Linked DNA regions of Ovis aries. Each later gene encodes a partner of the first gene's protein in a complex. Links are inferred from orthologs where the notes say so. Each region holds a gene or a part of one and is shown in the gene's direction. Other genes may lie near its edges.

Region 1 (3,629 bases):
AACACATCTGTGGAGAAATGGCAGGTGGGGAGGAAGCGTTGCCAGAATTGGACATCTCATGTCAGGTCCTGTGGGGGTTTACGAACAGGCTGGAGGAGAGGCGTCGCTTCCCTCAGGCCTCCTGACTGGTCCCCACTTCTCTCTACCCCAGACTGTACCAGGTGCCCTCCGGCTGTTTGTGAATGGAGAGGTGGGTAAGTGTCTCACCAGACAGGGGTCCCCTGAGGCTTGGCAAGTGCCAGGGAGAGCAGTGTGAAATAGTCCTCCCCACCCCAGCAGTGGCCTTGGGTTGTCCACAGTGCTCGGGAGACTCAGGTGTGAGTCTTTCCTGGAAACACAGAGTTCCCGGCCGTTGGGAGCCTTGCTTCCACAAGTGGGTAGGTCCTGCAGGACTGGGTCAGGCGTTAGGGGTGATAGGGCAATAAACTGAAACCGTTTCTTGTTTTCTTAGTTTCAGCCCAAGGCTATGAGTATGATAACCTCTACGTCCACTTCTTTGTGGAATTGCCAACTTCTAGTAAGTAGTATTCACAAGTCTCTCTTTTTACCCCTTCTGACAGTTTTCCAGAAGCATTCAGTCAGGTTTCCTTCCCCACTCCTCCACTGAAATTGTAACCGTTCTTTTCAAGGTCACAGGTCACTTCCAAGATGTGGAATCCTGTGGGGACGTGTCTGCCTTCGCCCTCCTTGGTCTCCCAGTTGCTACAGCTCACTTTCCTCGCTGCCCCTCTCCTCTTGCCTTCGGGCTCCGTGCTCCTCTCTGCTCTCTTGGTGGTGGCTCAGCAGCCTCCTTGGCTATTTCCTTATCTGCTGTTGACCTAAAACTATTAGAACATCCAAGGCCGGGCCTGGCCTTCTGTTACCGTCTCTCCACAGTCTTTCTAGGTGGCCTCATCCTTCCTGTGGCTTCAGTACTATGTGTGTGTCTCAGACGCCCAGACGAGTCTAGTCTTAGCCTCTCCCTGAATTCCAGACTCACGCCCACTTACCTGTTTGTTCTTTCTGCTTAACATGACCGAAAGCATCCTTGATTCCTCCTCTTGCTGCAGACCTGCCATCACGGTCTTCTCCATCTTAGCAGAACCACAGCGTCATCTCCTGGGTTTCTAATACCAGGAATATAAGAGACATCCTTGATTGCCCACTTCCTCTAGCTCCCTACCACCATTCATGCCATCAGCAATTCCTGTCAGGTCTGCCTCCCAAAGATGTCCCGAATTACCTGTTTTCTTCAGGACCCTGGACCAAACCACCATCATCTCTTACTTAGGCCAAAGCATGGTTTGCAGTTTCTCCTCTTGCTTCCTGTCTTGCTCTTATGCTTCTTTTCTTTGCTTAAGTAATTCGTATTTATTTGTGTATTTTTAGCTGTGCTGGGTCTTCACTGCTGCAGGGTCTCCTCTCTAGTTGAGGTGCTCGGGCTTCTCACGGCAGTGGCTTCTCCTGTTGCAGAGCACGGGCCCTCGGGCACTGAGGCTTCAGCAGCCGCGGCTCCCGGGCTCTGGAGCACAGGCTCCCTAGTTCTGGTGCACGGGCTTAGTTTCTCCTCGGCTTGTGGGAATCTTCCTGGACCAGGGACCGAACCTGTGTCTCCTGCATTGGCAGGTGGATTCTTTATCACTGAGCCACCAGGGAAGCCCCCTCTTATGTTTCATTTGCCACACACACCACAGCTTAACTGAGCCTTCAAAATGTAAACCAGCTGTGTCTCTCTTCAACTTAAAGCCCCCACAGCTTCCCTTCCCACTTTGAGCAAAGTCCAGACCCCATTCCCTGAAAGAGCTGGCCCCAGCCTGTCTCTCCCTTATACCACTCCAGTCATGCTTCCTGTTCCTCAACAGGCCAAGGTCATTCCCAGTTTAGGGCCTTTTCAGGACCATTTCCTCTGTCCGAAACCTCTTGAATCCTATCTTTGCATGACTGGTTCTGCTTCAGTTTAGGTCTCAGCCTAAGTGCCACCTCCGAGGGTCCCTCAGCATCCCTAAATGGGCCTCCAGGCCTCTCAATCTCTTCACACTGTTCTATATTTAGCTTTTATCACTCCCTGATGGTCCGTTGTTGGTTGGCTTTCTGTGCCCCCTCCCACCGCCAGCTGGAAGGTTAGCCCCCTGAGAGACAGGAAGCTTTTCTGTCCGGTCACTGCAGTGTCCCCAGGGGCCAGTCATAGCACACAATGGGCCCAGTGAACGTGGCGTGAGTGATTGGTCACGCGCCTGAGTGACTGAATGCAGAAAGGAGCTTTGTGTTTCTCTCAGCTGCTCGCCTTCCTCCCAGGTCGACTTACTCTGTGTCGTCTTTGGCTTTTAGACTGGTCAAGCCCAGCGTTCCAGCAGCTCTCAGGAATAACACAGACCTGTGCCACCAAGTCCCGGGGGATGGTATGGCAACAAGAGGGGCACCTGGAGGGAACACGGCTGCTCCTGGCATGACATCCAAAGATGATCGGGCTGACAGCACGGGGAGGACTCCAGAGCTGGGTCTGGCGCTTTGCTATGGGCCCTGCAGGGCCGCCTGGCCCCACGGTTCTCTGCCTTTTTGTGAATGGCAGCAGCTTGCGTCTGGGTGTCCCTTCCCCTCTTAGCCTCTTATTTCCTGTGTGGAGTGATAGTTTTTCCTTTTCCTTTGGGACCGTGACCTTGTCACTGGCCACAGGAAAAATGAGTGCCAAGTGAGGCCTTGCCACTCTGTGGCACCGAGTACAAAACAATAGCCCTCCTTTTTAGGATAACGTGGCCTGCTTCTCCTACCCTTTCACATTCGAGGCCTCCTTCCTCCACGAGGACGAATCTGTCGGTGAGTGGGCCGGCCGGTCCTCGGCCTTGGGGCTCCTCAGACGCGCCCTCTCCTGTGGGGGCCTCCCGGGACCTTGCTGCTTCTCCCCTCCGCAGATGCGCTCCTAGAGTGGCCCGTGCTCTACTGCGAGGTCCTCTCGCTGGACTTCTGGCAGCGGTACCGCGTGGAAGGCTACGGGGCTGTGGTGCTGCCCGCCACCCCAGGTGACCTCTCGGCCCTGCCCTGCATGCAGCCCTCCTGCCCCCGCTCCTAGATGCAAGGCTGATGCTTCAGAGGACTCGACCACTTCCTGGGAGAAGCAGGGATGACTGGGAACTAGAAGCACTTAACTTGCAAGATTCTGTGCTCCTTTTGAGGGCATTTTCTGTCTCTGCTAGAGACAGCTGAGCAGCCTTGGACTCTGATTCCCGCTCCTCTGATTTGACCTGCAGCCTTGGGGGAGCAGCCTGTGTCAAGATGGGCTCTGAGCAGACATGTACTGAGTGGACCACCGTTCCTTTAGAAATAATAGCCACTATTTTCTCTTGTGTGCCAGGCAGTGTGCTGAGTGCTTCTCGTTTAATTCTTCCCACCACTCTTTGAGGCATAGGTGTTGGTATTATTTCCGTTTTATTAGACGAGGAGAGTAGGGCTCAGAGAGGCTGAGAAACTTGCGCCAGCGCCCAGGTAGTAACTGGCAGAGCTAAGATCTGAGCTTCTGTCTGATTGATTCCCACGTAGGTCCCCTAAACCTCCGTGGTGACCTTCACCAGAGGTCAGGCTGTCCCCAGACCAGGTGTTTTAGTGGTGGCAAGGCCGGTGTCACTGCTGGGGAGTCTGTGAGGGACCGCAGGCCC
Region 2 (4,079 bases), on another chromosome or scaffold:
TCACTCTACTCAAATTACCTGGTTTGAGTGTGCCATGTTTTCTGTCCTATCCTGACAGTGGCTGACAGTCAAGTCAGCCTCAGTCCAATCAAAACTCTTCTTTCTGCTTCCCTGTGGGCCGTAACACATGCTAACTGCTCCAAACCATAATCAGGTTTCAAAGCCCAGTTCACCAGTCATCTCTTGAAAACTTCTCTCAGTTCCCACCTAGAGTACTTTGTCTTCCCAACTCCCATGCAAGTCAGGGGTCACGTGGTGATCATGTTTCATCTTCCCGGTCTTCTTTATGCTCCTCGAGAGGATCCTCTGCCTGCCTGCTCAGTCGCTCAGTGAAGTCTCTGCAATCCCAGGGTTGTCTAGCCCGCCAGGCTCCTCTGTCCATGAGATTTCCCAGGCAAGAATACTGGAGTGGGTTGCCAAAGGAGCCTCTAGTTCTGATTAATTCTGGTGTCTTCTAAGTACCTGTTTGATAAATCGGACGCACTAAATCCCCTATTACCCTCCCAGAAAAGACTGCTTGCTAGACAAAAGACCCCAAACGCCAAACCGCATTTGCAGAGCACTTTTGTGCATTATCAGACCGTTGTTTGGGATTCCCTCGTGGCTCAGATGATAAAGAGCCTGCCCTCAATGCCGGAGGTCTGAGTTCGATCCCTGGGTCCTGAAGATCCCCTGGAGAAGGAAATGGCAATCCACTCCAGTATTCTTGCCTGGAAAATCCCATGGACTGAGGAGCTTGGCAGCTATATGCAGTCGATAGGATCACAAAGAGTCGGACACGACTGAGCGACTACACTTTCACTGTTCTTTTTTCGTGTATTGTCAGACCGTTAGTGAAGAGAATCGTGGCGCTACAGCCTATTTGGCAATCCTGTGGTCACATTACCACTACTGGCTACTTCTGCAGATTCATTGTAAACTTTGGGTGGGGAAGCCCAACAGCTGCTCCCAGCCCTAGGGGCCTACGGACTCCAGCTCGGGGGGTGGCCCCTGTGCTGTCGAAGGTCTCCAGACAGAACCCCAGTGAAGGCCATTTGCGCGCACCGGCGGACGCACCAAGACGGCCTTCGCACCAGGCAACCATAGAGTGTGATGGGCGGGCAGAGAGGCCAGAGTCTCGGGCCGCTCTGTCCCCCGCTTCCGGCAACGCCTCGTTGCTCCAGAAGTAGAGGTAGCCGCGTATGCAGTTTCCATGGGGACTGGAGATGGCGCCGCGAGGTGAGATTACGGAGGTGTGTGAGTCGCTGGTCCTGATCGCTTCTATATTCCATTCCTTTCTCTCCCATTGCTCGACTTTTATAAACCCTCTATTCTCGGGTGTTATGGACATCACTTCTCGCTTGTCCAAAGCAGGGTCTAGCAGCTTCACCCTCCCTGAGTTCCTGAAGGTCTCGAGGTGCGGGTCTTAGATTCCCTCAAATTCTTGGCCAGGTCTGTTCTAGGCCAGCTCAGTTACAAATTTGCAGTGTGACTTCAAACAAGCCAGTGCTGGCCTCTGCACCCCATTTTCCCTTCCCAAATAGTGACGAGGTTAGATCTTAAAGGGGCTTTGACTTTCGCGCCCGAAGCCCGGAGTCAAGTTTAGGGGACACTCTACACACAGAGAGAAACCCTACACACACAGACACCCTACACACACACTCTCTCTCTTTTTCTCTCTCCTCATCAGCAATCAGAAGTGCCCCAAGTAGCCCTTTCCATTAGCTGCGACCTCACTTTTCCTTCGTTAGACACAAAACCATTGAAATAACTGAGGTTGAGCTGCCCTCCAGCCCATCTCTTTTTCTCTGTGCTCACATTTTCAGGTAAACGATTGTCCTCCACCCCGCTGGAAATTCTTTTCTTTCTGAATGGGTGGTATTATGCTACCTATTTCCTGCTGGAACTCTTCATATTTCTGTATAAAGGTAAGGCCTGGGGATTGACTACCCTTGCCCACATCCCTTCCCCACTTCAGGGCAGAGCCAACTCCCACCAAAAACCTTCCTATTTTTCATTCTTTTCTGCCCTCTAGGGAACCTCTTCACTGTAAGGTAGAAGTCTCTTCATCAGCTGACTTCTTGAGAATGATTTAGTAGGAAGCTCCTGGGCAAGAGTTTGTTGAGTTTGGGAAATGTGGGATTCTTCATTCCAACTCTCCCCCATCACCTCTTGCTGAACTCCACTTTCAGCCTGTTGATGAGCCTCGGAAGCTATTCAGCGGTCTGTGTACCCATGTACAGCTGATAATGGTGGAGGGTGGAGTCCTCATAGACTGTCCGAGTTATGAGTAAAACCCGATAACAACATGCCTGCCTCTAAAAGAGATGCAGCCACAACAAGGAGTTAACACATCCTGCATCAGGTTAACAGATGCTGCCCACACCTCACTAAGTAGCTCATGGACAGCTGATGAGACTCGCGCGTGTGGGGCTCTCCTGCGCACTGCTCTGTGTTGTTTTCAGGCTCTGACTTCTGTGTTGGCAGGTCTCCTGCTCCCGTACCCAACAGCCAATCTAGTCCTGGATGTGGCGATGCTCTTCCTGTATCTCGGAATTGAAATAATCCGACTATTTTTTGGTGAGTGTTTGTCCAAGAATATTTCCATTCTTTCTGAGATGAGCTGGTATCCGTAACCTGATCAACAAGGAAAAGTACATAACCTAGGCTCACCAATCAAGAGATTGGATCTGGTGGTATATCCCATTACTCCCTCTCTGAAGTTTCAAGCTGCTTCATATTTTGGGTCAAGATGTATCTGTCTGTTGCCCGGCAGGGCCAGAAGTGGGCAGTGGCATGATATTAGACAATTTCTTCCCAGTTGTCTAACTGTTACAAGAGTGCCTTGTTCCTCTCACTGGTTTGCTTGGGAGAATAGATTCAGCTGTAACTCCATGTCTGGGGCAGGAGATGCCTGCACAGGTCAGCACTAAGATCCCCTTCATTTTTCTGAACAAGGATTTCTCTAGGACAAGTTTTGTATTCCTGGAAGTACAGAGCAAGCCCTTTTTAGTTAGAATATGTCATCCCTGAAAATGTTCTTTAAACACACTGAAGAAAAAAAACATACTTTAAGTACATATCACAGTGGATAAAGAAAGCTCACATAAAATGCTAAGAAAAAAGCTAGTTTTAAAAATGAGCAAGGGAGGGAATTCCCTGGCTGTCCAGTGGTTAAGATTTCAAGCTTCCAACTCAGGGGGTAGGGGTTTGATCTGTGGTTGGGGAACTAAGATTCTGCATGCTGCACAGCGAAAAAAAAAAAAATTAGCAAGCGACCCTAATGGGCAGTTCACATAAGAATAATTACAAAGGACCAGTAACCATGATAAAATGCTCAAACTCACGAACAAAAAGCAAACTGGAAAAACACGGTAACATATTCACCCATCGGATTAAAAAGATTCCCAAATGCCCCGTATTCAAATAACCGCAAGAAACAGTATGTATGGTCTCACACTCATGTGAGTATTTATATTCCCACACCCCTGGGAATAGAAATTAGTATAACCTTTTTTGCTAATGGTTTTACCAGGTAAAATGTATATTCTTAGACATTAACAATTTCCCTTCTAAAACTGGCTGAAAAAAACACACTTCTACAGATACACAAGTATATCTGTATGAGGATGTATTGCCATGTATTTTTTGACATCAAAACCTTAGAAACAACCTAACACCTATCAATACAGGACTAGTTAAATTATGATATTGGTTCAATGAATTGTTCATAGCCATTAAAAAAGGTAGTTAGGTGTGGAAAGAGTTACGATAGAGTAAAAGGTAGTTAATGTGGAAAGACGTCTAACCATGTTAAATGGTTAAATAAGTTGCCAAACGGTATGCAGAGTATGATTCTACTTTTACAATAATGAAAATAATAACACGTGACTATACACATAAAAAATGTCTGAAACAGTATGCCTCATTCTGTAATAATGGCTTTCTCTAGAGGGTGAATCATGAGGTCTTTTAATTTCTGTATTTTCTAAAATGATTTTCTATATATTTTTCTTTTTTTTGGCCATTCCATGGGGCACCTGGGTTCTTAGTTCCCTAACCAGGGATTGGACCCATGCTCCCTGCAGTGGAAGCACAGA

The links.
Region 2: MKS1 (region 1) and TMEM216 share a complex: the UniProt entries of both Homo sapiens proteins name them as parts of the tectonic-like complex. The link is inferred for Ovis aries from reciprocal best matches to the Homo sapiens genes MKS1 and TMEM216.

What each region holds. Positions count from the first base shown.
Region 1 is NC_056064.1:8,833,053-8,836,681, reverse strand, and holds part of MKS1 (tectonic-like complex member MKS1), read left to right. Parts: intron 1-151; coding exon 152-194; intron 195-451; coding exon 452-517; intron 518-2,307; coding exon 2,308-2,378; intron 2,379-2,723; coding exon 2,724-2,793; intron 2,794-2,888; coding exon 2,889-2,996; intron 2,997-3,629. UniProt on the Homo sapiens protein: Component of the tectonic-like complex, a complex localized at the transition zone of primary cilia and acting as a barrier that prevents diffusion of transmembrane proteins between the cilia and plasma membranes.
Region 2 is NC_056074.1:36,445,102-36,449,180, forward strand, and holds the start of TMEM216 (transmembrane protein 216), read left to right. Parts: upstream 1-1,153; 5' UTR 1,154-1,181; coding exon 1,182-1,218; exon of another isoform or gene 1,219-1,232; intron 1,233-1,805; coding exon 1,806-1,907; intron 1,908-2,014; exon of another isoform or gene 2,015-2,033; intron 2,034-2,040; exon of another isoform or gene 2,041-2,202; intron 2,203-2,208; exon of another isoform or gene 2,209-2,344; intron 2,345-2,466; coding exon 2,467-2,559; intron 2,560-4,079. UniProt on the Homo sapiens protein: Part of the tectonic-like complex which is required for tissue-specific ciliogenesis and may regulate ciliary membrane composition.